Xenopus tropicalis: one gene and its partners. The protein of the gene in region 7 purifies or fractionates together with the protein of the main gene of each other region. This does not show direct contact. Links are inferred from orthologs where the notes say so. Each region holds a gene or a part of one and is shown on either strand. Other genes may lie near its edges. The genes, in order: ppp2ca, myo9a, ier5, ppp2cb, sertad4, ecsit and ppp2r2b.

Region 1 (4,291 bases), about 14 Mb from region 7:
AACAAGCATATAGGTGTAAAAATGATGTATTTGCCCATATTTACCTATTTTGAGTTCATCTGAATGTAAACTTTTTAAAAATGTTTTTTCTCTGGTAAGTTTACTGACCCAGGCATTTTTGTCTTGCAATCTAGTATGCTGATTTCTGGTGCTTTGAAAATTCACTTTACTGTAGGTCAGTGGTTCTCAACCTGTGGGTCGGGACTATTTCACAGGGGTCGCCAAGACCATCGGAAAACACACATTTCAAATGGTCCTAGGAATAATTTTATGGTTGGGGGTCACCACAACATGAGGAACTGTATGAAAGGGTCGCGGCATTAGGAAGCTTGAGAATCATTGGTGTAGTAGATGTTTAACACATACACATAAGGAAACCCCATAAAACTATACACACTCTAGTCAGGTTACCACCTTACTGGTATTTTACCGTAAAATACCCTACACTGTGTCGATATCAGGCTTTCCAAATGAGTTGTATTATTTTTACTTGCAAAATAGGTTTGATTCCTCTAGATATGAAATTATTAGTCAATTAACAACGCAACGCTTTGTTTGCAGATTTGGAAGAAAGAAACGCTTTAATTGTATAGAGCAGGGGTAGGGAACCTACGGCTCGGGAGCCAGATGTGGCTCTTGATGGCTGCATCTGGCTCCCTGCCAAATCTTTAATAAAAAAAAATAATGTGGAGCGTGGCCTGCGCTTAGCGGATAGAAGACATGTTCTATGCCTTAGAACACATCTTCTATCCGCCAAGCGCAGGCCACGCCCTCCTCCGCGTCCGGCATCCTTACCAGGTTGCACTTGAACCAGGGCCCAGGGAACGGAGAGGGACATTGGAGCAGAAACCTGTCACGCTTGAATTGAAAATAAAATGTGACCAGTATGTCTCTGTTGGGGCTACAAAGAGAAGCCAACTGTGCACTGTGCTAGGTAGCCCTCTAGTTATACCACTAACAAGCCATATTGAACAGCTAAAGATGACACCCACCCTACCTTGCCCCACAGCATCCGCGGCCTTCGGCCTAGCTCCCGTTGGCCATTGTATGGCTCTCACGGAATTACATTTTAAAATATGTGGTGTTTATGGCTCTCTCAGTCAATAAGGTTCCCGACCCCTGGTATAGAGACCTAAGAATATGATTATAATATATAATAATTAAATCAATAGCTATTGCTTCGATTTTGTCTGTGTGTGTCACTGGGCCTGCAATAAACCATCCACCCTCCAGGCTTTTCTCTCAATGACTGCACTTGAGCGCTATCATTTATCGCCACGCCCATGCGACTAGACTCGGATCCATAAGGGCGTGGGGATGAGCGCAGCTTCCGATGACATCTCTAGGAAGTGACGTACGGCGAAGAAGCAAAGGAACTGGCTGAGGAGGAGGTGTGGAGCCATAAAGGAGAGGTTCGTGACGTCACGGCGGCCATTATACTGTACAGTACACTCTGAGAAAGAAGGAGCCGTAGCTGCAAAATTACAGCGGACTGTCTGATAACGTTATTTCTTTATTACCTCTACTAGCTCTGTACCTCTTACGAGGCGCTTTGAAGCCCTCTGGACTGTGTCCGTTTAGATACTGTCGCCTGAGATCCCGGCACTCCCCTGGGTTCCGTATTTTATTCAACTGACGGTCCCCACCCCTGCCAGCAGCGGTCGACTTGTTGGTTTTCTGACGCCATTCATTGGCTCTTGGTCCCTCCGAGGGCATACCCGGTGACTGCCTCCCTAGGCCGCCGGTCTTTTCCTTAGACAGCCATGGATGAAAAGGCGTTCACGAAGGAGTTGGATCAGTGGATCGAGCAGCTGAATGAGTGCAAGCAGCTATCGGAGAACCAGGTCAAGACTCTGTGCGAGAAGGTACGGGTGGCGCAATGGCAACTTTAAATAGACTGCTGGTAGCAGCCGTGATTATTTTAGAACTATACATATATATTAGCCTGCTGTGGAGCTACAGCCATCAATAGTAGTAGGTAGTTCCTAACGTCATATCGGTTTGTGGGCAGTAACATGGAGCGCACGTAGGTCTTGCGGGGGAGATCATTATTCCGTATTGGGGAACGCATTATTCCGTATGGAGGCCGTATCTTTCGCTATTACGGGTTGCTATACACTTTATACAACATGTAGGCTGGTTGGTAGACACATGAAACGTACTATATATGTCTATCGCCCTAATATATGTGGGAAGGCGTGTTACGGACACCGGGGGGCTAGCGTACAGGGGCTATAGTATCTGTAGTGTTTGCTGTACAGCAGCGCCCATGTGTGAGCTGCACTCGGCACGTCCCACTCCCGGCGAGAGGCTCTGTGGGCGCAGGCTCGGGCTGCTAAGCTCATGGCGCCTTTTGTCGTTCATAAGATGGCGGCTGCTCCACCCCCCGCAGGAATGCGCATGCACGCCAGGACGTGTCACTACTAGTGCGCGCCTCGGCCGGCGGCGCGCTCCCATTTGCTTGGAATGTTACAGGGAATGCAGGGGTCATGGGGATTCTTGGTACAGTGAACGTTGTGCTTTACGGCTCCTTGTAGTAAAGTAAGGCCATATTCTGCCAGAACCACGGGCTAACGTAATCCTGATCTATGGCTTGTTGGGAAAATGTGTTGGTGGAGATGCCACAGTCCAAAAGAGTGGTGGGAATTCCTTGTGTGCTGCTGTATAGGTTGGCCAGCCACTGAGCTAGGTAACATTCATTTGAACATCTCTCATTAAAATGAATAGATGCAGAGCTTTCTATTTATAATCACATATAAGTGGCAGTACAATAAATAGGTATATATATCAAACATGCAGATTTACATACAAAGCAGCCAATCACTGACACAAGAGGTAAAGAGGGCCCTGCCCAATAGAGCTTGCAATCTAAAAGGAGTTCACAGGGTTGGCGGTGGTATGCTTTTTGATGTTTTTCTATTTACGCCCAGGGATTATAAGAATGATGTTGTCCCTTGTGGTCCCTCCTGATGTAGCTAGCTGCGGTTAGTACCAGATTCAGCTGATGTTGGGCCGCAGGACAGTGATTGAGTACATTGGCCAATATTGTGGTGCAATCATGCTCCAGTGTGTTTTCCATGGCCATAGTTGTAGCTAGCTGCATCTAATAGGGCGGGCCACACAGTTACTCACTCTGGTAAATTATGTACAAGGTATGGCAACTTTGCCAAGAATCTCCGAAGCTCATGTAAAACGTGCAATTTTATGAAAACAGCACTGCTAGGAAGTGCATACAAATATTTTAGAATTGTTCAGAAATCTATAAATAAAAGTCAATTTTCTTAGTGCCAGGACTATAAACTTAAGGCTGAAGTGTCTATCAAAGGATTCTTAAAGTTTGATTCTGCTCCTATGAGCCTTTTTTGAGCTCACATTCATTTTCTGCTCTATGCCAGCCATTTTTAAGGCTGTACAAGAAGCGGGTTGTTCATGTGGGCCTTTCAGCTGTTGCTTAAGTAGAAAAATGCAGCCAAACCAATTGGTGTTACAGCTGGGATACAGAGAGGCTACTTATAGGCATGCTGTGAGAAATCCATTGTTAGCTGGCCAATAACCTGTGATTGCTTTTTGCCGGCATGGTCCATTTGGTACTAGGGATGCACAGTATTGGCAAAGGGACAGAGAAGCTCAAAGTAGACCCTTTCTGTGGAGAAGTGTGGCTTATTGACTGTATGGGCAGTGCTGCTTTTACCTCCATCAGCTTAATTAAATCCCCCTCTGTCCAAAAGTCATGTCTATTCGCAGATTTACAACAGTGTTGTGTAGTGTGCAGAAAGATCTGCCTGCCTGGGATGTACAATGCAGCTGCATTGCTTAGAGAAGTCTCTACCACTGCACCACGGGAAAGGCAATAATAAGTGTTTGTCACTGTTTTCCACATAAAGCAATCTTTTCTTTTCTCATCACGTGACGGTTATTCAAGCAAATGTAGCTGCAACTCTTTCTTTTTCAAGCCTTCTCTAGCTAAAAACTGACAGACTATGCATAGTACATGGATATGGGGCAGGATTAATGGGCCTCCATACTCGCAATTCCTTAATTAAAAGGATATCTTCATGTAAGAAACTTTACTATGAAATATAAAATAACTATAAACCGCTTTCAAATATACATAAATTGCAGCTTTTAGTGGTTTTATTTTTTTTTAACTGCAATTGTTATTAAATTTAAATATAGTTTCTCTTTCATTGTCTGCATGAATGGATACACATGCTTCTCCATTACATTTACAAGTAACTTTAAAATATAAAACGGTGGTTTTAATAAATAAGCAACTAGGACGATAAAGCGT
Region 2 (4,093 bases), about 52 Mb from region 7:
TCAAAAAATGCACTTTTACCATTTATTTTATACAGCAGGGATCCCCAACCTTTTATACCCATGAGCCACAATCAAACGGAAAAAGTGTTTGGGAGCAACACAAGCATAAAAAAAGTTCCTGGGGGTGCAAATAAGAGCTATAATTGACTATTTGGTAGCCCCTATGTGGACTGTCAGCTTATAGAAAGCTCTGTTTAGCTTTACACTGGGTTTTATGCAACCAAAACTTGCCTCCAAGCCATGTTGCTCACGAACCACTGGTTGGGGATCACTGATATACAGCAATAGTACACATAGATATTTAGGTTCCAGGATTCCCTGCACTGTAGATTGAATCTAACCTGAGGCTTAAGGAGTGGGAAGACTAAGTAACTGTCCAAGGTCAGAAAGAGAAGCCAAATGAATCAAACCCAAGCTTCCGGGAATCAGAATGCTGTAACTTAGATTATGGATACACATAGAAAGAAAGCTGCACAGATCTAATTTACATTTAGACATACTGTATGAGAAATTACGTGGATAACTGAATGGATGAACAGAAACTACAGCTAAGTGGATATGCAGTTTATGTTATAGGCAGGGCCACTCCTTAAAGGAAAGGTAAGAACCGTCTTTTCCTGTGTAACAATATTAATACAGTACCTGAAACTTGATGGTAAATAAGCTGCATAAATCCATAACAATTGCAAAACACCAATTTCAGTTTATTTCATGTTTATTTTTATTTATTTTTTTAATAGACTTGAGAAATAGTGATTCTAATTGTGGGAAAAAATACCTTTACAGGAAAAACCCCAGGCCCCAAGCATTCAGGCTAACAGATCCTTTACCTGTATAATATATATATAGCTACAAAAGCAATAAGGTGGCATTGGCGTGACATACAATGTACCACAGTCAAAGCAGCCAACAATACAACCCTTGCTCCTCTAGCATTAACATTGCGTTCAATGAACACATAAGGTTCATGGACTTACACTATTTAACAGACTCCTGCTAACATTGTGTTTGGCTACTAGAATAGACTGGTTGGCTCCTAACTATTTAGCATTTTGTCCACTCCTATGTAAAGTAACATTAGGTTGTTAGGAGACTGAACAGAGAAATAACCTTCAAAGAGCTAGTGGACCAAAACAGCGCAGTTGTAAAAGAGATAAGAGACAAGGTGGAAACATTACAGCAAAGAATGTTTAAGCATTCAAATATATGGCCATAGAGCAGTCTGTGAATAGAGGGCGTAAAAAGTAAGCTTTAAACTGAGACAATCTATACACTGCAATGGATGTTATGTGACACCACATAAATCAGATCTTTTGTACAGATATTCAAATTGATTGATTTGTATGTGATATGTAAGGAAATGTAAGAATCAGCAGTGCTTGGAGCTATGGGAAACTAGAGCAAATAAAGCATTAAATGGATGAGCCTAATGACTTTTACAGGGATTTTATACACACATTCGCTCTTGTTGCATTCTCACAGTATCTTACATATCCAAAATACTTACAGACATACCACAAATACCGAGAATACTGACAGCATCATTACTCATTACTTAATGTCCCTGCAAACCCCCAGTGTCCCATGAATGACAGACAACAGGTCACAATGGTTCTTTCGCAGCTGTCGGGGCATAGTAGGTGTGGGGAGGGAGAAGATGGGCATCTGGTCTTCAGAAACAAATAGTGTGATCCAATATGGCCTGCCCAGTGGTGGTTGGACTACAACTCTCAGTTGTCTTCTTGGAAAATGTCACATTGTTTAATGTTACATTAAACAATAGCTGGAAGGTCAGGGTTTACCCATACTGGCCTATATAACAAGAAGGAAGAGGGTCCCAGAAAAGTGTAAGTGTAGAGAAAGAGTATGCTGCAGAACTCTGTCTAGAATGTCATATTTGATGGGAGTAAGCCCACTGTCTCTATACAGGCACAGCAAGGCCATGAAGTAAGGCTACATTACCTGGGCTATAAAGGACTAATGGCACATGATGGGCACCACTCACCTACCGTAATAAACACTGATCTTGGGGTCCACAGTACAACTGCACCCCTCTGCCCTGACTAGCTGAGCTTAGTGTGTGCTTATATACAGGGTGTATGTCAGTGGGATAATATCCTGCGACTCCACACTTGCTTTGGACTAAAACTCCCAGCATCCCCATACAGCCGATAACCAGGATCTTAGTTAAAGAGAAGCTGGAGGGCCGCGGTTTAAACTAGGAAGTGTTCTATGGAGCTCCGAAGTGTCACTTACCCTTATCTCGGCCCCCGGCGATTTCAGGCCTTCTGACAACAGTGAGAGACATCCAGAGACCGCAAGAGACAGCTCAGTGCCCAAGACTCGGCATGAAGGTCCAAGACACAGTTCCAGCTACAGATCCAGAAAGGACACGTACAGAAACCCGGGACAGTCACATTTAGGCCTTGGAGCTGAAAATCGGCAGAAATTAGCTAGGAAATCGCCAGTCAGGTTGATAAATCCGGTGACGTGAGGCAGCAGCGGAGAGATAGCCCGATGTACAATCCTGGCTCAGGGGCAATGACAGCTCACACGGGCCGGGGCCGGAGAGATTCCGTACAGATCGCTGTAATTCCCAGCAGGAAGAGAGCCCACAAGACAGCAGATGGAGAGGCAGAGACTGCAGGATGTGACTGCAGGGTGGAGAGAGAGAGACAGGAGGGGGGAGGGAGCAGCCCAGACAGGCGTGTTCAAGGGAGAGAGACACAGAGATTTACTACAGAAAGAGACAGAACTGCTTGGGAGAGACAGACTGGGCTTAGAGAGGGCCCCGTACATCTATTAGATTAGGGTGAGAGACAGGCAAGGTACCCACATGCCGCCTTCTGCAGAGCCACATCCTCTGGGCACACACACAAGATCCTCATTGCGGGATGAGAAATGCGGCAAATGGAAAGCAGAGGCCTTAATGATTTCAGAGCAGCTGCCACAATTAAGCTCCCAATGCACAAGATGTAGCCTTATGGTGTATAATAAGGCAAAGAATGAGCAGTGGGGTCAGGGGGTCTGTGAACCCCTGCAAATCCTTGGGCAGGGGTCTAATTCTTGTCTGGCCTTCACATACTTACTTTGATAATCCTTCCTTTACCTCCACCCATATACCTATGTTTGTGCTATGGAGCAACTAGTCTGAGGCTAACATTAGAGGGGTAGTTCACTTTTGAGTTAACTTTTAATATGTTAAAGAATTGCAAATTCTAAGCAACATTTCAATTGTTCTTTATTTTTTTATCTTTTATAGTTTTCTGAATTATTTGCTGCCTTCTTTTGCCTCTTTCCAGCTTTAATATGGGGATCACTGACCCCGGCAGCCAAAAAACAATTTCTCAGTGAGGCTACAATTTTATTGTTACTTTTTCTTACTTACCTTTCTCTTCAGCCCCTCTACTGTTCCTATATCAGTCACTCTCTCTCTCTCTCTCTCTCTCACTCCCTGGTTCCTAAGGTAAATTGGACCCCAGCAACCAGATAGCTGCTGAAATTCCAAACTGAAGAGCTGAGGAATAAAAAGTAAAATAATTAAAAAACCTCCAATAATAAAATAATCTCAGAACTGCTCTCTCTATATCATACTAAAATGTAACTCAATTATGCAGGTAGAAGCAATAGAATGCTACCCCTATCTGAATATTCAGCATTAACCTACTGCCAGTGTTTGGAACCTTTACACCCTGGCCGATCAACAAAACGAGTGATAGCCAAGGCTTTTGCCGATATCTGTTGCCTAGTTAATTCACTGTACAATAATAATATCAGTATATGTATGAGCGCCTTTACCTTGGGCACTAGTGATAAGTATGTATGTAGGAGTGAGTTATTTTGCTCAGTACAGTTATGTGGCAAAATTTGTGGTTTTGCCCACAGAAAAAATTTCCAGGAATTGGTGATAGAATTTACCCATGCGGCATGTTTGTAGTTAGTGGGTAGTGATATACAGTCATATGAAAAAGTTTGGGAACCCCTCTCAGCCTGCATAATAATTTACTCCACTTTTAACAAAAACAATAACAGTGGTGTGCCTTTCGTTTCCCAAGAACATCTGAGTACTGTGGTGTTTTTAGTTAGGTTTTTA
Region 3 (4,281 bases), on a different chromosome or scaffold from region 7:
CTCTCTCTAAATTAGGCTGTTCCTTTTGTAGGAGCAGACCTAGAAGATTTCAAATTCAGGAAGCAAGTGACACAATGCAGTTGTAGAATTATTAAGCTCTGGGGGAAGGTGTGTGAATGCTGCATAATTGTAAACATTAAACTTGAATGAATCCTTTTTTGTAAAGAACTAAAATATTCAAATGTTCAAGTTATTTTGACTTTCTTTATAATTACAGTTTCACATTCATTTCTCTAACCTGTCAGCCAACAATGTCCCTTTTTAGCCTTTTTGTCAAATTAGATCATAGAATCCTGTATTGGGGTGGAAATTTTAAGCATCTGAAAGACTGAACGTTTTAAATAAAGGCTTTATCGCAAATATCACACTGGTGGCCTTTAATGCAGAGAATGATGTGCATTATCAGCTGACACTTACCAGTCACTGCAAAGAAACAGCGAGTGTGGCCTTGAAGACTAAAGGCCTGCAATATCCCAAATAATTGGCTCAGAGCTGCCAAGGTAATGTAGATGCCCATGCCCCCATTTGACCTCAAACCACCCCCCCCTAATTCTATGTCAATGTCACAGGTATATAAAAATGTAATAATATCAGAACCAGGTAAATAATATCAGCAAATAAGTGTTTCCTCACCCTATCTGACCTTTAGGCTGGACGTTCACCCCAAATCCCACTGTAACTGGCATGGTCACTGGCAAGTCAAAGAAATCACAGGACCGGCTAGCCTTGCTCTCACGGGTGTTTGGTACGAACCAACTATAAAACATATATGACTCCTTTCCGCAGCTCCCGCAAAACTGCAACTACCCGTAAGACTGCTGGAAAACCGACAAGCTACAAGCTGGAATAGTAATGGTGGGGGAGGCAGACTCAAAGCAGCCAGCATTCGACCTCACAGCCCATCACGTGACTGAGCCTGAACACTTACAGAAGCATTACATCAGCCTGGGAGCCGCCACCAAAACACTGCCTGCGTTAAAGGGGCAATGCCTCCATCATAGCATACTTTAGCGCTCCTGTGACTATATACACTTCAGTACCTCAGTATGAAACTACTAATCGTCAGATCGCGATAATAAATCGGGATACTTTATATGTGCTTATAGCAGCCACGGCAAATACTAATTAAGACACAGTCTAGGGACGTAAACGCTAACAAGGCAATGCCGCTTTAAGGAGATTCTACGCGGGTAGCCTTTCGAATCCAGGCGGTTAATGCTGTGCTCGCCAATTGGTAGTTTTTCATGTGTCGCACAAAATGCTAGACAGCCAAGATCTGTGTTGGAGACGGCTCATTGGGACCGCCTGATTGGCTAATGGGAGTATGACGTAAGTCGTATATAAGGAGACTGTGGGAGCGCGCCCGCGCTTAGTTGCAGTTGGTTTTTGGGACGGGTGGGTCACGCAGCTTTGTGTTCCCAATTTAACCGCCCTCAAGGGAAACCGGCAGGTTGGCACATTTGTGACGAAGCGGAGAAAAAGCAGGAATCCTGCATTTTTGAAAATGCACCGGGAAGCACCAGAGCAGCAGCAACACGATCCTGGGAATGTGGAAACTTCACCCGGGTTCGGCTTTCGCCTTGAAGCTCACCGCATCGTGAGTATCTCGCTGGGAAAGATCTACCATTCCCGGGTGCAGCGCGGTGGCATCAAACTGCACAAGAACCTGATGGTGTCCCTGGTACTCCGCAGCGCCCAGCAGGTCTATCTGAGCCAAAGCCCGGAGGAGTTACAGCAGGAGTATTACCAGAGGCAGGCACCGCTCCATAATCCGCCGCCGCCACAGCAGGACTGCAAGGAGCCTGAGCCATATTCATGTACAGGGGACGCTCAGTGCCCCAGTATGGTGAGCCCTGAGCAGACAGATGCCCGGACATGTACCTGCCCCACAGCAAGCCACTCTTGCAGCCCAGACGACACAGCGAACCCCCGTGGGGTGCCCTGTTGCCAGGGACATGGGACTGAAAACTGCCGAGCCCACTCCGCGTCCCAGCATAAAGCAGATCACTGCCCGAGCCGTGAGCCAGAGCCCAGCAGCCCGGATCCCCCGAGTAGTTGCTGTCGGAAGAGAAGCGGAGGGAACCCGCCCGATGGGCCGGCCATGAAGCGAGCTAAGAGGGAGCAAGGAGAGCAGGAGGTGCCAGAGCCAGGGGACGAGGCGGAGGAACAGATGGAGACAGAGAACGTGGCAAACCTCATCAGCATCTTCGGCTCCAGTTTCTCGGGACTTCTGAGCAAGGAGCCTGGGGCAGAGGGGGCCGAGGAGCCCACACAGGACGTGCAGGAGTTGGACTCTGCGGGCCCAGCCGGACAGGGATGCAGTGAAAGGGCGATCAGCCCGAGTATGACCTCCTGGAGCACGGCAATCGAAGCCTTTTGAGCCATCCCATAACGGGAGCGTTCAGCCTGCGGCCCCCCACTTCGTGCACTAAGCAAACTAGTGGTGGTGTGTGGTTCAGCAAGAGCTGGGGGGGCGCAGGCTGGGATCTCCTGTATAGACTGAACTGACACTGCTGGCACAGAGCACACTATATGGATTGTTTTATATAGAATGGATCGTGATGGTGCAGGGTTGGACTGACCTCCAGTAAGGATTTGTGTTACCCATGTCCTCATATGTCTGGATGCCTTTCTTCCTACATCTGCCTAGTTTTGTGTGTGGATTGGTGGGCGAAGTTTGCTATGTTGGTAAAGCACTTAGAGTAGAGATCTTACAACCAGCACTTCTCCAGCTTCTGTTGAACTACAACTTTTAGCATTGGCTTTCTAGAGAGGCTGGGAGTTGTAGTCCACAACAGCTTATTTTTTTTCTCTGGTTGAAGATCCCTAGCTTAAAGGGGTGCCACGTGTACAGTTTACTTAACCTATTCATTACCAGAAGACACACTGTATGAACCATCTCACCAGGGACTTGGGGCACTCCTGGGATAACCATGATTTTCTGTTTCTGTAAGTTGAATTACTTTCAGATAACTGGATCTCGTGGGAAGATTAGGGGTGTGACAAGTCCCACCTAGCACCGGAGGTACATTAAGGTCAAGAATTTGATCAACACTAATTCAATGAATCGTTTGCTGTTTCACTGTAAGCTTTTTTTTTCAATTGGGGGTGGTATTTCCCTGGGGCATTATTCACCAGTCCTTAAACAGCCCCTCCCCCACTTCGAAAAGAATGTCTCCCAACCCCCACCACTATGGTCACCACGTGCTAGGGGAGTTCCCCACTTGGGGAGAGGGAGGGAAGTTCCCATCTGTTCACACTGCTCTTTTCCTACCTATTGTGTTATATAGCCCCTCCAGTCATTTCAAAACTACTGCTTCCTGTTTCATGTCCTGACTTGAGGCAAATGCCAAATCAGTGTTCAAACTGCTTGTTTGGCCCCCATATAACCACACACACCCACACTCTTTGATTAATTTAGTTTTTTGTCACTTGTTTGAGTTCATAAGCAAGCATTTTCCTAGAGCCTTGCATAATTGGTTTTCTAACACTTTACAATCCATAACATGTAAAAGTGTCTTATTCACTTTTTAGTTTTGAGCACACACAGTTCATGGTGCTACCCTCATCAAGCCGCCCACCATCCTTTGACTTTATATTCTTTAAGCATGGAGAAATGACTGATGTATCTTTGTAAACTTACTGAGGAGGAAGGAAAAACCCTTTACGTGTATTTTGTCTGCTGAAAGTGCTTGTCAGGCTTGGTGCTCCTGTGCTCAATCCAGCCCTGCGTGCTCAGTCAGATCTCTCTTTGTTTTAGAAGATGAGTTATTCTGGCTGGATGTGATTTAAACAATGGTTTACAGTATTTTTATGCACAATGCTGTAACTGACTTCTGTATACTATGATGTTTCTACGTGTCTGACACGTATTAAATATTTTGAAACGTTTCAGAACATCTCTCATTATTTTTAAAACATGAACTGCTTGAAATATATGAGTTCCAATTGGTGGGCTTGGGGTCAAAGTGCTACTGATCTTTTGCTAAATCTGAAACACCTCTGCAATCTACTTGTTTGAGATTAGACCAAGCTAAAATACTTTGCAGTAGCTGTGTTTTTTAATGCCATGTTGGTAAATGAGCAATGTGCCATGGATCTAAACTGGTTAAATATAATTGTGGTGGTACAATGGCTACACACAGTTTTATTTGTGTTAAATCATAAGCAATTAATACAGGGCAATTGCAGCTGTGTTTTGTTGCTCATACTTCAGGGTTGGTCACCTTATTACCAATGGTGGTTTGCCCAGAAACTGGGGCTTGCAAGACATTTTTTTTC
Region 4 (4,224 bases), on a different chromosome or scaffold from region 7:
TTAGGGGCTAACTCATAATATACAGTGTGAATATAATGTAAAAGTTCAAAAAACAATAGTAATGAAGTCAAAATCACATTACATCACCTCACACTAACCAGTGCATTTTGGATCGCAAATGATCATCCCAGTAGCTTCAGCTTCTATAATAAATGTAATATCACTTTCTGTTCAATAATTTTAATGACATGAAAAATTAGCCTGTGGCGAGTCACTGGCAAGCACAAAGTGGTCTAGTGATCAAAATTTATGAGCTGCTGTGGACAACTTTGAAAGAATGGGTCATTACTATTGTAGGGCTTCTACTGTATGATTGGTTTATAAAATAAAGTATTTCTAGCTGTAATGAGTTAGGGCTTTATTTATTTTCTTCTTTAAAAGGGGGAGTAAAATAAATAAAATATTACCTTCTTCAGCAAAGGAAATTGAGAGTTAACAAACAGAAAAGTTAGGGTGAAATGGATTAAAAGGTGCTCAAAAGTCATGCGCTATTTATTACTAAAGTGAAAGGCCACTGTAAATTTAATTTACAGTGGAGGATGTATGGCTTCTTTTAGCTGACCTTACCCTTCAAAGTTTTACTGTTTGGTTTATTTTACATTTAGCCTAGTTATATATACAGTTAGATATAGTTATTATTGTATGTTGTGAAGTACTATAGTCCTATTTCCTTAGATGGACACACATTTCATTTCCCATTATGTCTGGATGCTTGATTTTATGTTGAACGATGCTGTTAACTGTAGCACAGCACCATTAAAGAACCCAAACTTAAAGGAGTAGTTCATCCTAAAATTAGTTCCACATATGGTATAGATGGTAGCATTCTATAACAATTATTAATCAGCCTTCTTTTTTTTTTCTTGGCAGCTTGGAATTTCAACTGATATGAGGATGGTAGGACTTAATTGGCCTAACAACCAGACACAAAAGAGAAACTCAAAATGAAGATGAACAGTAAAGTGTCCCATTAGAATGATGTGCAATGAAAATAAAAACAGCAACACATCTGAGGACTTACAGTCAGTCAATCAGTTTAATGGTTGTCAGGATCAGGAAACCCTGACAACCAAACAGTATTTTCAGTTGAAGGCTGGGGGAATAAAATAAGGATTCTGATAAATCAAAAGCTATTTAAAAAAAAAAAGATAGGTAAATGAAAATATGCTTAGATTAATGGCACACAACGCGTAAAGAAAAGGCCATAGTCCTATCACCCATAATGTTACTACTGAACATAAAGTGCCATATCAGATGGACATGAAGAGGTAACAGAGACACACTGGCCCAATACACTCAAGCAAAAGCTTTGCGCATAGGTCCACCTGTCACCACAAGTATTCAACAGTATTAAGAGAGGTGACACGTGTTTACTGAAAACAGTCTGGCTACATCATAAGTATCAAGCTCTCAAAGGATTAAAGAAAGGTACTCATCAAAAATTAACTTTATATTTGTACCTTTAGTGCAATGACACATGGAGCTAATTGCACCAGCTACAAAATAGTACTGATAATTGTCTCTACGTGTGTTTTAGCAAAGATGGTTCTCAGTACTGTCTATGGCAAAGTATTTTCTGGGGCTTTGTAGCCGCTACAAGTAGCTCTGTGTGCTGTAGTCCTTAAACAGCATTTAGCTGCAAGAATCACTTAACTGTAGTGATTTTCCCTACAAGGAAACACTTGCATTACAGGTGAAAAGTTTCCTCCAGTTTTTGCAATCCATCTGTTTGTATTTTGTAATCTGCTGTTTGAGAGCAAACAGTTGATTAAATGTTATGGATTTAAAGATGCTTTAGCAAACTTTGTGCCTGTTATTACATCATAAAGTCACATCAATGCACTCTGCCAACCCTATGATTATTAGCAAAGATGATAGGGGTACATTGTTGCCCGTTTAATTTAGAAAATAAATCCCTGAGAAAGGAACACTGGCTGTGTTCAAGGCACCCATCAAATTATAAAATCTCACTCTGAATAGTAATTAGCTACAATACACATATATGTTAAAGGAACATTTTAAGATAATTCCACATGTCAAATTGTATTCTGAAAATAAATGAATACTAATGCCACTATTGTAAGCTCTACGGGGCAGAGACCTCCATCCTTTTGTCTCTTTGACCCTTAACTTATTGCAATTGTATCTTGTATTTATTGTTATACTTTAAACTTATCTATTATTATCTTAATAACCCCCTGTTTGTATTAATGTATTCTACTGTACAGCGCTGCGCACATAAGTAGTGCTTGCTAAATAAAGATATAAATACATACACTAATACATTCAAATAAGCAGGGGGTCTTAGAAACTGGAACCAACAGCTGCCAATCAAAAGGGAACTAAATACAATTTTCAAGATCAGAATCCTACACAGTAAATCCCCTGATGTATGTTTATTTGCTGTGTGGACGTGCCTGTATGAACAAGCGAGGCCCCTTACAGGCGTGTGTATGTTTCTGTGCGTAGCATGTATTCCCCCTACGAGATCATGACGGTATCATGCTGGGAGTGCTATACACCTATGTATGTGGGGCTGAGTGTTTACAGACGTTGCTGCACAGGGCCGGTCTCACCTTCTCGCACAGGGTGCGCACTTGGCTCTCGTTGAGTTGCTTGCAGTCATTGAGCTGCTCGATCCACTGGTCCAGTTCTTTAGTAAACGTCTTGTCCTCCATGCCAGAAACTTCCAGACAACCACACTATTCCACGGTAACACACGCTACAAACATACACGAAATTCCGCACTGTGCCGATCGGTCTGCTACCCCTCCTCTCTGCCCCCTCTCCTGTCACACATTCACTAGCACGGCCTACGCCTCCCACCCCCCAACTTCGTGCGAGGCTACGGCCGGTGATGACCGGACGGAAATATTCACGTATTAATAAGGCTTATGTTAAGGTATTGCCTGTCAAAAGGAGGAGGCCGAAACGCGACTATGTCGTTGTAGCTTTCCTCCTCCTCATTCAATTTCACCCCCGTACTTGCGGGAGCGCGCCGAGAGGGGGTGGAGCTGATAAAACGCACAGAGACAACGAATGGCAGACTGAAATGTACATGCGCGACACAAGGCATAACCTGCACAGCGACAGAGCGTGCCCGCGCCCGTAAACTACAGAAGCGTGCACGGAGACACGCAACGTCAGACTGAGAGGCGGAGGGATGCGCGCATGCGCAAGGAAGCCCCCACCTGCAGAAAAAGTTTTTTTTCGTTTTTTTTTTTTCTCAATGATCTTTATTTGGGTTGTTGTGGGTAGAAACGGGTGGAGTAGAGTATAGTGAAAGTGACAGCGGAAAGGCAGATGTGTTCGTGTTTGACACCCCATTGCTATAAAACTGGAAACGTATAGTTGCGGTACGTGTACATGCAACTTGACATAGATGCATAAATATAGCTCGATTTCCTTATAATATAAAGCTGTCTAATATTATAATGCGTTTTGTAAAGGTGTTTTTCATGGTACCAGGGGTGCAAAATATCTGCCTCTGATAATTTTAGGAGTTGAATAGTTTAGTGTTGGGGGACACATTCGCATAGTGAGCAGCGGTTCTGTGTAAAAGTGGAACTGGGTAAAAGAGACTGCCCAAAATAAAAAATGTTTGCAATATAGTTAGGCAAAATGTAATCTATACATACTGGAGTGGGCAGATGTCTGATATAATGGCCAGAACACAGCTCTTTAAAGGGGAAGGAAAGGCTAAGTCACTTGGGGGTGCTAAAATGTTAGGCACCCCCAAGTGGCTTGAATCGCTTACCTCGTACCCCTGGCTGGTGCCCCTGTTAGGAGAAAACTGCACCAGCCCAGGGCACCTGGGGCAATGCACTTCCCCCTTCCGCCTCCCTTTCCCCTGGACTCAGAGTCCGGCGCTTGCGCAGTAGAGTGAAAAAGCCGACTTCTCTGTTAAAGTTCGGCTTTTCACTCTACTGCGCAGCGAGGGAGGAATCGCTCGCTGCTACCCCGGGCTGGTGCTGTTTTCTCCATACAGGGGCACCAGCCCGGGGTAGAAGGTAAGCGATCTAAGTCACTTGGGGGTGCCTAACATTTTGGCACCCCCAAGTGACTTAGCCTTTCCTTCTTCTTTAAGCTGTTAGCAGTCAGTAACCAATCAGTGACTTCAAGGGGTGTATATGGGACATACTGTTTAGTTAGTTTGCATTTGAAGCTATCCTGTGTGCTCACAAACTAACTGAACTGTTATGTCCCTTGTGCCCTCCCCCTTCT
Region 5 (4,204 bases), on a different chromosome or scaffold from region 7:
TCCGTGCCCCTGCCCCATCCAGCCCTCCGTGCCCCTGCCCCATCCAGCCCTCCGTGCCCCTGCCCTATCCAGCCCTCTGTGCCCCTGCCCCATCCAGACCTCCGTGCCCCATCCAGCCCTCCGTGCCCCTGCCCAATCCAGCCCTCCGTGCCCCTGCCCCATCCAGCCCTCCGTGCCCCTGCCCCATCCAGCCCTCCGTGCCCCTGCCCCATCCAGACCTCCGTGCCCCTGCCCCATCCAGACCTCCGTGCCCCATACAGCCCTCCGTGCCCCATACAGCCCTCCGTGCCCCATACAGCCCTCCGTGCCCTATCCAGCCCTCCGTGCCCCATCCAGACCTCCGTGCCCCATACAGCCCTCCGTGCCCCATACAGCCCTCCGTGCCCCATACAGCCCTCCGTGCCCTATCCAGCCCTCCGTGCCCCATCCAGACCTCCGTGCCCCATACAGCCCTCCGTGCCCCATACAGCCCTCCGTGCCCCATACAGCCCTCCGTGCCCCATACAGCCCTCCGTGCCCTATCCAGACCTCCGTGCCCCATACAGCCCTCCGTGCCCCATACAGCCCTCCGTGCCCTATCCAGCCCTCCGTGCCCCATACAGCCCTCCGTGCCCCATACAGCCCTCCGTGCCCCATACAGCCCTCCGTGCCCCATACAGCCCTCCGTGCCCCAAACAGCCCTCCGTGCCCCATACAGCCCTCCGTGCCCCATACAGCCCTCCGTGCCCCATACAGCCCTCCGTGCCCCATCCAGACCTCCGTGCCCCATACAGCTCTCCGTGCCCCATACAGCCCTCCGTGCCCCATACAGCTCTCCGTGCCCCATACAGCCCTCCGTACCCCATACAGCCCTCCGTACCCCATACAGCCCTCCGTGCCCCATCCAGACCTCCGTGCCCCATACAGCCCTCCGTACCCCAGCCAGCCCTGCGTGCCCCATACAGCCCTCCATGCCCCTGACCCATCCAGCCCTCCGTGCCCCATCCAGCCCTCTGTGCCCCATACAGCCCTCTGTGCCCGACCCACAGTGACCCCGCTGGCAGCGCACGTACATTCTTGCTGGGAACAGACTGAAACTGTCTGTTTGCCCGCGGCTGTTTTCTGACCTGATCTCACAGGCACAGACATGATCCCCTGCTGCTACAGTCATATGGTTCCCTTAACAGACAATTACTATTCCAAACAGCAGCCAGATCCCCAAGAAGCTGCGCGTAACCCCTTCACTGCCTGCTGACACTCTCTGTGGCACCCTAGTGCCTTGGCCTGTGCCGGGGGGGGGTACACTGGGCACAAGTACAGGGGGCACAGACTGGCACTGCCAGTATTTACAAAGACACCAAGTGCCCAAAACCTCATAGGGTGTATAATAAGTTTCTGTGGGTGCCCTGTGCCCGGCTGGGGGTTACAGGATACAACTACACATTATTGGGCCCCACAGATATACCACTGTAGGGCCCCAAGTCACACAAACTGCTTCTGTCAGTCCCGCGCTGGGCACCCTATACCTTCTGGACACCCAAGAGTCTCCTTGCTCTTTAGTTGCACCCCAATAATACGTTGTTTGCCCAACATATTGACCCCCCCCCAAAACAAAACTTCCTGGGGGGGGTTTATGAGATTGTGCCAAATCTATACCAGACTTTCCCCACAGTAATGTGTGTTTGATCAGCCTGTACCATTCCAATGCGTTCCTACTCCCAGAATCCCCTGAGAGCCCCATTGGGCCCTTACAGAACCCTCAATACAGTATTAGGGGCCCCACTAGGGAAATAGATTGGCACTAAGTTTTATAATAAGGGCACATTGGGGCATAACCCTGGGGCATGAGGGGCAACTTTTTTTCTAAACCACAAACAGGGGCAATATAAGTCAATGGCCAAGGTGCGCCCATCCCTTGCACCCACATCGCTAGTTCTACAGCGGCTTGGGGGGGGGGAGAGGTGCCCCCACATGTGTACATATAACCATGTAAAGCCCAACTCCCCAATAAATGCCCCTACCTTGCGCCTTACTCCCGGTACTGCGTCCCGCAGGGTCACCGCGCCAGCTAGGAGACAAGTCGCCGCACAGTCGCAACACAGGTTGACAGCGATTCCGCGGCAGTGTCGCTGTACAGGATAGCAGAGGTGCGATTCCCGGGCAGTGTCGCTGTATAGGTTAGCAGATGTGCGATTCCAGGGCAGTGTCGCTGTACAGGAGAGCAGAGGTGCGATTCCCGGGCAGTGTCGCTGTATAGGATAGCAGAGGTGCGATTCCCGGGCAGTGTCGCTGTATAGGATAGCAGAGGTGCGATTCCCGGGCAGTGTCGCTGTATAGGATAGCAGAGGTGCGATTCCCGGGCAGTGTCGCTGTATAGGTTAGCAGATGTGCGATTCCAGGGCAGTGTCGCTGTACAGGAGAGCAGAGGTGCGATTCCCGGGCAGTGTCGCTGTATAGGATAGCAGAGGTGCGATTCCCGGGCAGTGTCGCTGTATAGGATAGCAGAGGTGCGATTCCCGGGCAGTGTCGCTGTATAGGATAGCAGAGGTGCGATTCCCGGGCAGTGTCGCTGTATAGGTTAGCAGATGTGCGATTCCAGGGCAGTGTCGCTGTACAGGAGAGCAGAGGTGCGATTCCCGGGCAGTGTCGCTGTACAGAGGTTCCCGGGCTGCTGTAGCGGAGTAAGGCAGAGGTTCCCCCGGCTCAGAGCTGCTCGGAGAGGCTCCCAACAGGCAGGGAGAGTGCGGGGCTGAGAGCGAAACCGGTCCGTCCTGTTCTACATTTCCCTCCGGATCGCACAGGAGACTCGCCAGCCTGCCCCGGGGGTGAGGGAGGGAATGTGACAAGCGCCTGTCTGCGCTCCCTCTCTGCCCCCTCCCACCGGCCCTGCGACTCCAACTGCCCGCTGCGACTCCGGCTGGCCGCGACTCCTGCTGCTGCACTGCTTAAAGGGACAGCACTCTGACCAGTCCTGCAATTGGGGTCACACTGTATGGTATAAACATATATATGTGTGTGTGCCTGTGTATATTTATACATATAGTATATGGTTAGATAGATAGATAGATAGATAGATAGATAGATAGATAGATAGATGATAGATAGATAGATAGATAGATAGATAGACAGACAGACAGACAGACAGATAGATAGTTGATAGATAGATAGTTGATTGATAGATAGATAGATAGATAGATAGATAGTTGATAGATAGATAGATAGATAGATAGATAGATAGATAGATAGTTGATAGATAGATAGATAGTTGATAGATAGATAGATAGATAGATAGATAGATAGATAGATAGATAGTTGATGATAGATAGATAGATAGATAGTTGATGATAGATAGATAGATAGATAGATAGATAGATAGATAGATGATAGATAGATAGTTGATAGATAGATAGATAGATAGATAGATAGATAGTTGATGATAGATAGATAGATAGATAGATAGATAGATAGATAGATAGTTGATGATAGATAGATAGATAGATGATAGATTGATTGACAGAATATATAGATGATAGATAGATTAGATAGTTGATAGATAAATAGATAGATAGATAGATAGATAGTTGATAGATAGATAGATAGTTGATAGATAGATAGATAGATAGATAGATAGATAGATAGATAGTTGATGATAGATAGATAGATAGATAGATAGATAGATGATAGATAGATAGATAGTTGATAGATAGATAGATAGATAGATAGATAGTTGATGATAGATAGATAGATAGATAGTTGATGATAGATAGATAGATAGATAGATAGATAGATGATAGATTGATTGACAGAATATATAGATGATAGATAGATTAGATAGTTGATAGATAAATAGATAGATAGATAGATAGATAGATAAATAGATAGTTGATAGATAGATAAATAGATAGATGGATAAATAGATAGATAGATGATAGATAGATAGATAGATAGATAGATAGATAGTTGATAGATAGATAGTTAAGATAGATGATAGATAGATAGATAGATAGATAGATAGATAGATAGATAAATAGATAAGATAGATAGTTGATAGATAGATTGACAGAATATATAGATAATAGATTAACAGGATAGATGATAGATAGATAGATAGATAGATAGATAGATAGATGATAGATAGACAGATAGATAGATAGATAGATAGATAGATAGATAGATAGATAAGATAGATAGTTGATAGATAGATTGACAGAATATATAGATAATA
Region 6 (4,224 bases), about 99 Mb from region 7:
ACTCCGTGTCCCATAGCTCCCTCCTGTCTGTGTCACTGTATCACCCTGCAGTGGGAGGGGCAGACATGTCCCATAGCCCCCTCCTGTCTGTGTCACTGTATCACCCTGCAGCGGGAGGGACAGACTCCATGTCCCATAGCTCCCTCCTGTCTGTGTCACTGTATCACCCTGCAGTGGGAGGGACAGACTCAGTGTCCCATAGCCCCCTCCTGTCTGTGTCACTGTATCACCCTGCAGTGGGAGGGACAGACTCCGTGTTCCATAGCTCCCTCCTGTCTGTGTCACTGTATCACCCTGCAGTGGGAGGGGCAGACATGTCCCATAGCCCCCTCCTGTCTGTGTCACTGTATCACCCTGCAGCGGGAGGGACAGACTCCATGTCCCATAGCTCCCTCCTGTCTGTGTCACTGTATCACCCTGCAGTGGGAGGGACAGACTCCGTGTCCCATAGCCCCCTCCTGTCTGTGTCACTGTATCACCCTGCAGTGGGAGGGACAGACTCCATGTCCCATAGCCCCCTCCTTGGCCCATAGTAAGTAGTGTAGTAAGTAGTAGGCTCTTTACCGTAATTCTCCATCTGCTCTAGCACCCTTATGGCGCACTCCTGCTGGCGTGGGTAGTGGTTGAACATCCTCTGGATGTAATTTTGGGGGACAAAGACCTCCTTGGGAAACACGTCAAGCAATTTATTATAAACCTCCAAGTCCTTTTCCACCCCAAACTCCGTCATCCATCTAAGAGCCGCCTCTATGATCTCCACATGTCCTCTCCTCCTCACATCTCGGTTGCAGTAAAGATCAAGGACCTCCACAAAGGAGGCTTTGTTCCTCTGCTCCCTCTGGAACACATCCTCGTATGGAGTAACCGAGCCGGCTGAGGAAGTGGCTTGGGGAGGCCCAGGAGGCGGAGATGTGTGAAGACAGCAGGTCACCTGTTTCTGGAAGACGACATGCACAGGATAACATTTCTGATTAAGCTTCCAGGGAAGTTCTATTACTCAGGTGACAATATGCAGTGGTTGCCCACTAGGTACAAAACCCCACAAAAACCCTGCACACCAGAAAAAACTTCCCCAGGGAGGTATTTATAATTAAAAAAAAACATTTTATTCATTTAAACATGATACAGAAAAAAGTATCAACCTTAAAAATTGTATATCCATCAAAAAGCAAATAAATACATACCCCCAGTGTAATAACTGAAAAACAAGATATGAAGGCAGATAATCTGGATGAGAGAATACCCCAACGTTTCCGCTCAAACGCCTTTGTTTAAATGAATAAAATGTTTTTTTTAATTATAAATACCTCCCTGGGAAAGTTTATTCTGGTGTGCAGGGTTTTTGTGGATGTGTATAGTCCTCTTATGGGGGGATTATTAAAACCCTAGCACCTGGATACTTTATACTTATTTTTTGTATATATAATAACTCCTGGCAAGGATATTCTAGCCAGGAGTGCCCTCCATTTCTCTAAATTGTTGCCCACTAGGTAGCCAGTGTGCCCTGTCTGTAACTGAAGGAGGGTACACGCCCGAGATTAAAGGGAAAGTCTGACTATGAGAGGGGACAGGAGAGAATGGAATATTCCACGTATAAGTGGAAACGTGTCGGCGCTGCGCTTACCTGGGCGTTATTGCCGGTGCCAAGAGCCTGGCCTGCTGGTATGCCTCTGCCCCGGGCACACAGATGACGGGCAGAAATCAGGAAGCGCAAGGTTCTCATCCTGACGGCTTGATGCTGCTTCATAAAATAAATAAATAAATATATAATGGACACCCTGGCACCCCTCCTTCTTTATGGTGCACCCCAAAGGCCAGCCATGCCCCTACAGTTGTACCAGTGGTGCCGCCCATGTGGGTTCCTAGTGCTCAGGGCAATCACATGGTTGGTAGGAGACAGAGCCAGACTGGCACAGGCTATAGGTGGGAGATGGGCACAGGCTATAGGTGGGAGATGGGCACAGGCTATAGGTGGGAGATGGGCACAGGCTATAGGTGGGAGATGGGCACAGGCTATAGGTGGGAGATGGGCACAGGCTATAGGTGGGAGATGGGCACAGGCTATAGGTGGGAGATGGGCACAGGCTATAGGTGGGAGATGGGCACAGGCTATAGGTGGGAGATGGGCACAGGCTATAGGTGGGAGATGGGCACAGGCTATAGGTGGGAGATGGGCACAGGCTATAGGTGGGAGATGGGCACAGGCTATAGGTGGGAGATGGGCACAGGCTATAGGTGGGAGATGGGCACAGGCTATAGGTGGGAGATGGGCACAGGCTATAGGTGGGAGATGGGCACAGGCTATAGGTGGGAGATGGGCACAGGCTATAGGTGGGAGATGGGCACAGGCTATAGGTGGGAGATGGGCACAGGCTATAGGTGGGAGATGGGCACAGGCTATAGGTGGGAGATGGGCACAGGCTATAGGTGGGAGATGGGCACAGGCTATAGGTGGGAGATGGGCACAGGCTATAGGTGGGAGATGGGCACAGGCTATAGGTGGGAGATGGGCACAGGCTATAGGTGGGAGATGGGCACAGGCTATAGGTGGGAGATGGGCACAGACATTTATATTATTGTATTTATGCTTTCGAAATATATTCATTATTCTTTATAAATGCACCCGGGTCATAATTCATTTCCAATTACAGAAATATATTTGTTCACTACTAACCCCAGCTGGCAGTACGGGGATCTGTACTATACGGTCCGGCAGTACGGTACCGCTCAGCCAGTGGGCCTGTGTGTATGGGCAGGGGCACCGGGGCGCCTTGTATGGCTGTAGCTGGAGGGCTCCGCTCACTGAGCAGTACACCACAAACACTTATCCCGGTATTCCTACATACATACCGACATATATACACCTACCTACAAGCTTCAGTGTCACTGCAGCCGACTGGGCGCCGCCATCTTGGAGGAATTGAGTGACGTCAAGGAGCCTGCCTTCCGAGCCGGGCGGGAACAGAAGACTGAGTGAGATGGTTCCGGGCACTGTAACGTGTTGTCTTCACTCTTCATCCTCTTACACTCTCCAGCTGCTGTCCCCCATGTATTCCCTTACTCACTCCCTCACTGTCACTCACACTCCCTCCTGTCAGTATCCCTCACTGTCACTCACACTCCCTCCTGTCACTCACACTCCCTCCTGTCACTCACACTCCCTCCTGTCAGTATCCCTCACTGTCACTCACACTCCCTCCTGTCACTCACACTCCCTCCTGTCACTCACACTCCCTCCTGTCAGTATCCCTCACTGTCACTCACACTCCCTCCTTTCAGTATCTCTCACTGTCACTCACACTCCCTCCTGTCACTCACACTCCCTCCTGTCAGTATCTCTCACTGTCACTCACACTCCCTCCTGTCAGTATCTCTCACTGTCACTCACACTCCCTCCTGTCAGTATCTCTCACTGTCACTCACACTCCCTCCTGTCAGTATCCCTCACTGTCACTCACACTCCCTCCTGTCAGTATCCCTCACTGTCACTCACACTCCCTCCTGTCAGTATCTCTCACTGTCACTCACACTCCCTCCTGTCAGTATCTCTCACTGTCACTCACACTCCCTCCTGTCAGTATCCATCACTGTCACTCACACTCCCTCCTGTCAGTATCCCTCACTGTCACTCACACTCCCTCCTGTCAGTATCTCTCACTGTCACTCACACTCCCTCCTGTCACTCACACTCCCTCCTGTCAGTATCCCTCACTGTCACTCACACTCCCTCCTGTCAGTATCCCTCACTGTCACTCACACTCCCTCCTGTCAGTATCCCTCACTGTCACTCACACTCCCTCCTGTCAGTATCTCTCACTGTCACTCACACTCCCTCCTGTCACTCACACTCCCTCCTGTCACTCACACTCCCTCCTGTCACTCACACTCCCTCCTGTCAGTATCCCTCACTGTCACTCACACTCCCTCCTGTCAGTATCTCTCACTGTCACTCACACTCCCTCCTGTCACTCACACTCCCTCCTGTCAGTATCTCTCACTGTCACTCACACTCCCTCCTGTCAGTATCTCTCACTGTCACTCACACTCCCTCCTGTCAGTATCCCTCACTGTCACTCACACTCCCTCCTGTCAGTATCTCTCACTGTCACTCACACTCCCTCCTGTCAGTATCTCTCACTGTCACTCACACTCCTTCCTGTCAGTATGCCTCACTGTCACTCACACTCCCTCCTGTCAGTATCTCTCACTGTCACTCACACTCCC
Region 7 (4,129 bases):
CAGCACTGGAGGGGGTCTGGGGGCACATCGCTAGTGTAGAACAAATTTCTGTTTTTAAAAAAATGGAAATTTGAATCTTAACTTAACCAGGAGTGTTTTTTTGCCATATTGACCTTATTTACTGCAATACAGAAAAACATTTCTGGCATAAATTAAAAAAAAAAGAAAAAATGGCATTCAAACAGTTGTGAATTTGTCATTGAAGGCTCGTACTCGTGAGCGTTGCTTTCTCAGATGGCGTTCTCCTGTGCTCCACCGCAGAGAGTCACAGGAAGAAACGCATCCCATTTTTTTTAGTGGGTCTGAACTAACACAGGCGCAGGTAAGTGCTGGATGCAAGGGAAGCACAATTTGGATGTGCCTGTGTCAGAATCCTAAACTCCACAAGAGGTTTTGTATGGTGTCAGATCAAAAGAAGGGGAGTAATAGAAAAATCTGATGTGTAAACTACATGAAAGATTTGCCATCCAACATGACGTGCCTGTCAGAAGGGAATTCTGCATTCTGCGTCTTCATCCAATAAAATCTGATGTGTCTGACAGACTTTTTTTCTCATTAAAATACATTGTGTGTCGGATGTAGATGCAGGAACAAAACATACCATCTGACTTTATCTGATCCAACTTTACACTACAGCCTATGGAGATCAGATTTTGTGGTTTGCGTGGTGTTGCATGACAAGATCAGATTAAATCTGACCCACAAAATCTCCCGTGGAGTTTAGCCCCTACTCCCAGAATCCAGAGCAACAGGATTAAACCACAAAACTGGAGTCATTTAAATTTAGAGGCTAAACCCATAGCAATCAGTCCGTAATTAGTACTGATTGGTCAGCTGCATAAAGACTAATGAAAGAAATGTTCTTAGCAGTTGCTGTGAGTGACAGCTCAGAATAAAGTTTATACTTGGTTTAGGGTTTTTCAGATGTAGGCATACTCCCCACAGCATATCCCTTTAATACAGTGCCACCTTAAGAGGAATTGTTCTTTGTGTGCGGGTTGAGGGCCTTAAGCATACTGCACACCTATTTTTAGAGGAATAAGAGTAATAACCTTAAGGTGGGACTGCATATGATTCAGCATATCCCTGTACACCATCAGGGCAATACCCCTGCTAGCTGCTGATTGGTTGAATTTCTTATACATGCCCCATGTAAAGGGGACATTGAAAGGAATATATTCAATGTTGGGCTACACAGATTTTAGCAGAAACCTGTAGTAAGCATTTTCCTATGATGATAGTTAAATTCATGACTACTAGCAAATCAAATTTCAGATACTCCCATTCTTTGGCATAGATTGGTCCAATCAGTGGCCACAACTGTGGCCTACCCACCCTACTGCAGTGAGATCAGTAAACTGGTGTTATGAAGTTGCACACTGTGATTTTCTTAGAGTGTTGCTAACAGCATATTATATGCAGCCATAGTTTGATAAATACCTGAGACTAAACTGTTCCAAGCAAACTTCAGCTGCATTGGGGTGAAAAATCCAGTTTTACACACCAGGAATTTAAAGATTAATGACTTTGCCCCCGCAAGGCATATATATTTATTGAGCAGCATCTTGCTGTCCTGAGGTTTTTGCTGTTTAACACAGATATCCATTTAATAAATGCCCTGTTCTATAGAAGACAGTGTGGGATCTTGCAACACCAGGTACAGTGTTATGATCCCTGAACTGCAGGAATCTATTGTGTTTTCTGAAGAGGCCCGCCATTGCAATGGAAAGTACACACGCAGGCAGAGAAAGAGTTCAGGTAAGTAGCCATCTTCTTTGCGTGGCCCATGTGACTGGTCCTTTTTATGGCACATTGGGTAACTACAGGTTGCCAAATTGGTTTTATTCTTTATATGACATTTTTTCTTGCTGGCCTACACAACTTTATTTATTCATGAAACTAAATGTAGACAGTGTTGTGGTGAACTGAATTTTCTATAACTCCTGCTTTAAGCAGCTATAGAGCTGGTCAGGCTTCCGGCTGTATATTACCTCTGTTCTGTACCATTAAGTGGCTGTACCACTTAAAAGGTGGTCATGTGAATACAATTTATGCCAACATCTCTTTATAAATAGCTGTGTTGGTGCACTGAATATTTGGCTGTCCTGTACTTAATATCAGTCGGACTGGGGAGGTCTTGATCCCACCAGGGCTGCCACCTCAGTCCCCCCACCCCAGTTGTGTGGTCATTGTCAAGACCTCCAAAGAAATATGCAATGGCACAAACCCCCCTCCCTCCATTGTGTGTACATTGTAGTCCCTGATGCAGCAGAGATCTGGAGGGGAGATCAGAGGGAAGTGGATCTGTGTTTGGAGGGGAAGCCAGGGCCCACCGGGTTTTTTTCCCAGTGTCACATCAGCCCAGTCCAGCTCTGTTTGTAATTAGGTCTTAAAAATCAGTGCAGTGTGAATCAGGCATATGTAATGATTAGCCATGCAACATGGGAATAATGTTTTATAGTGAGCCCTTAACAGATTATATATAATGCAGACTAACCTGTACCTGTAAGACTAACATACATATCGATAAATTCTACACATTTAGTGGGGAATTTCACATACGTTTAATTTTTTTTGCATAATAAAGCTTTCTAAGGATTTTCCAAACACACATGAAACATTTTTAGTGTTCAGTTATTTGTAATTGTGACCAGTGTTTGTATCGTTCTATTTTCTACACTGCTGTAAAGGGTAAATAAAAACAGGTATAGGATCTATTATTCAGTATGACTGGGACCTGGGGTTTAGTTCTGCATATCTTAAACCTGCTGAAATTAATTTAAACATTACATACACCCTATAGGATTTTTTTGTCCCAGATTTGGATTCATGCAGCTTAGTTGCCATTAAGTACAAGGTACTGTTTATTATATACTTTTCTTTATAGCAAATCCTTTAACATATAGTCTTCAGTTTATTTCTAGAAATGTTTAGTTCTATGTCTGGGTATAGATTATTCTGTACAAAGAGTCTTGTATACCCACATTTGTTTTAATATGGGTGGTAGCTAACATACTTCATGTTTGTTTGAGGCAAATTGGTTTATTTCTAAAGGCTTCAAACAGTGGTCCCCCCCCCACTCCCCAATGGTCAAATTATGAATAAGGTTAAAACACTTGGCTGGATTAACCAAGCAAAGCATTTTTCAGAAACAGGAGCTATTGCTTTCTGCATTACAGCTGTAAGTCTTGGTTGAAAATGTGCTGTAAATGAATACTGTTCAGAAATGATTACAAAGTTCTCCTGGTGCCAAGATTTATGATGCATTCCTCTAACCCAAATCTTTACTAACAGTTTACATGCATGGGGCTTGAAAACCTGTGCTTAGTCTAACTAGATGGCACTAAAAATATTAAAATATCTCTTTAATCTTAAAATACATAATATGAGAGCTTTATTTTATTGTTCATATAAACTTTTAATGAGACAGAAGCTAACCTAAGTGAGCCATGGGCAGAACTACCATTTGGGCTACAGCTGCAGGAGCCCAGGGACCTCAGGCACTTTTTAGGGCTCTGGCACACGGGGAGATTAGTCGCCCGCGACAAAACTCCCTGTTCGCGGGCGACTAATCTCCCGCAGTTGCCGCCAGTTGCCATCCCACCGGCGACAATGTAAGTCGCCGGTGGGATGGCACACGCGGCGGCACGATTTCGGGAAATCGGCAAAGTTGCCTCGCGAGGCTTTTTTGGCGATTTCCCGAAATCGCGCCGCCGCGTGTGCCATCCTACTGGCGACTTACATTGTCGCCGGTGGGATGGCAACTGGCGGCAACTTGGGGAGATTAGTCGCCCGCGAACAGGGAGTTTTGTCGCGGGCGACTAATCTCCCCGTGTGCCAGAGCCCTTAGGCTTCAATTACTCCTAAAGGTGGAAATATTCAAATGTCTCCAGTAATGTTTAGTTATGTAGACCAAAGATAGGCAAATCGTAACCCTATCATTGAAATGCTATTTTCTGGATCTTGCCACTAGCCAAAGGCAGTCGGGAGTGCAGAGAAAAGTTGTCTAGTGACATCTGAAGGTTACCAATGACACTGGTGCCAAGGAATATTTCTTCACATAGGCCTCCCACCATCTTTTTCAGCAAGTGAGGAAAAAGTAGTGATCACATCAAAATAGTCGTAGGTA

Evidence for each region.
Region 1: the proteins of ppp2r2b (region 7) and ppp2ca purify together in Homo sapiens (affinity purification with mass spectrometry; 4 studies listed by BioGRID and IntAct, with this or other methods). This does not show direct contact. The link is inferred for Xenopus tropicalis from reciprocal best matches to the Homo sapiens genes PPP2R2B and PPP2CA.
Region 2: the proteins of ppp2r2b (region 7) and myo9a purify together in Homo sapiens (affinity purification with mass spectrometry; 4 studies listed by BioGRID and IntAct, with this or other methods). This does not show direct contact. The link is inferred for Xenopus tropicalis from reciprocal best matches to the Homo sapiens genes PPP2R2B and MYO9A.
Region 3: the proteins of ppp2r2b (region 7) and ier5 purify together in Homo sapiens (affinity purification with mass spectrometry; 4 studies listed by BioGRID and IntAct, with this or other methods). This does not show direct contact. The link is inferred for Xenopus tropicalis from reciprocal best matches to the Homo sapiens genes PPP2R2B and IER5.
Region 4: the proteins of ppp2r2b (region 7) and ppp2cb purify together in Homo sapiens (affinity purification with mass spectrometry; 5 studies listed by BioGRID and IntAct, with this or other methods). This does not show direct contact. The link is inferred for Xenopus tropicalis from reciprocal best matches to the Homo sapiens genes PPP2R2B and PPP2CB.
Region 5: the proteins of ppp2r2b (region 7) and sertad4 purify together in Homo sapiens (co-immunoprecipitation; 3 studies listed by BioGRID and IntAct, with this or other methods). This does not show direct contact. The link is inferred for Xenopus tropicalis from reciprocal best matches to the Homo sapiens genes PPP2R2B and SERTAD4.
Region 6: the proteins of ppp2r2b (region 7) and ecsit purify together in Homo sapiens (affinity purification with mass spectrometry; 3 studies listed by BioGRID and IntAct, with this or other methods). This does not show direct contact. The link is inferred for Xenopus tropicalis from reciprocal best matches to the Homo sapiens genes PPP2R2B and ECSIT.

Annotation. Positions count from the first base shown.
Region 1 is NC_030679.2:26,542,993-26,547,283, forward strand, and holds the start of ppp2ca (serine/threonine-protein phosphatase 2A catalytic subunit alpha isoform), read left to right. Parts: upstream 1-1,465; 5' UTR 1,466-1,763; coding exon 1,764-1,865; intron 1,866-4,291. UniProt on the Homo sapiens protein: Catalytic subunit of protein phosphatase 2A (PP2A), a serine/threonine phosphatase involved in the regulation of a wide variety of enzymes, signal transduction pathways, and cellular events.
Region 2 is NC_030679.2:92,035,216-92,039,308, forward strand, and holds the start of myo9a (unconventional myosin-IXa), read right to left. Parts: upstream 2,895-4,093; 5' UTR 2,257-2,894; intron 1-2,256. UniProt on the Homo sapiens protein: Myosins are actin-based motor molecules with ATPase activity. Unconventional myosins serve in intracellular movements. Regulates Rho by stimulating it's GTPase activity in neurons.
Region 3 is NC_030680.2:100,835,105-100,839,385, reverse strand, and holds ier5 (immediate early response gene 5 protein), read left to right. Parts: upstream 1-1,396; 5' UTR 1,397-1,504; coding exon 1,505-2,380; 3' UTR 2,381-3,891; downstream 3,892-4,281. UniProt on the Homo sapiens protein: Plays a role as a transcription factor. Mediates positive transcriptional regulation of several chaperone genes during the heat shock response in a HSF1-dependent manner. Mediates negative transcriptional regulation of CDC25B expression.
Region 4 is NC_030677.2:97,482,189-97,486,412, forward strand, and holds the start of ppp2cb (serine/threonine-protein phosphatase 2A catalytic subunit beta isoform), read right to left. Parts: upstream 2,886-4,224; 5' UTR 2,679-2,885; coding exon 2,577-2,678; intron 1-2,576.
Region 5 is NC_030681.2:15,444,157-15,448,360, reverse strand, and holds the start of sertad4 (SERTA domain-containing protein 4), read right to left. Parts: upstream 2,855-4,204; 5' UTR 2,001-2,854; intron 1-2,000.
Region 6 is NC_030679.2:139,307,426-139,311,649, forward strand, and holds the start of ecsit (evolutionarily conserved signaling intermediate in Toll pathway, mitochondrial precursor), read right to left. Parts: upstream 2,882-4,224; 5' UTR 2,869-2,881; intron 1,742-2,868; 5' UTR 1,724-1,741; coding exon 1,625-1,723; intron 938-1,624; coding exon 565-937; intron 1-564.
Region 7 is NC_030679.2:40,230,876-40,235,004, reverse strand, and holds the start of ppp2r2b (serine/threonine-protein phosphatase 2A 55 kDa regulatory subunit B beta isoform), read left to right. Parts: upstream 1-1,235; 5' UTR 1,236-1,667; coding exon 1,668-1,758; intron 1,759-4,129. UniProt on the Homo sapiens protein: The B regulatory subunit might modulate substrate selectivity and catalytic activity, and might also direct the localization of the catalytic enzyme to a particular subcellular compartment.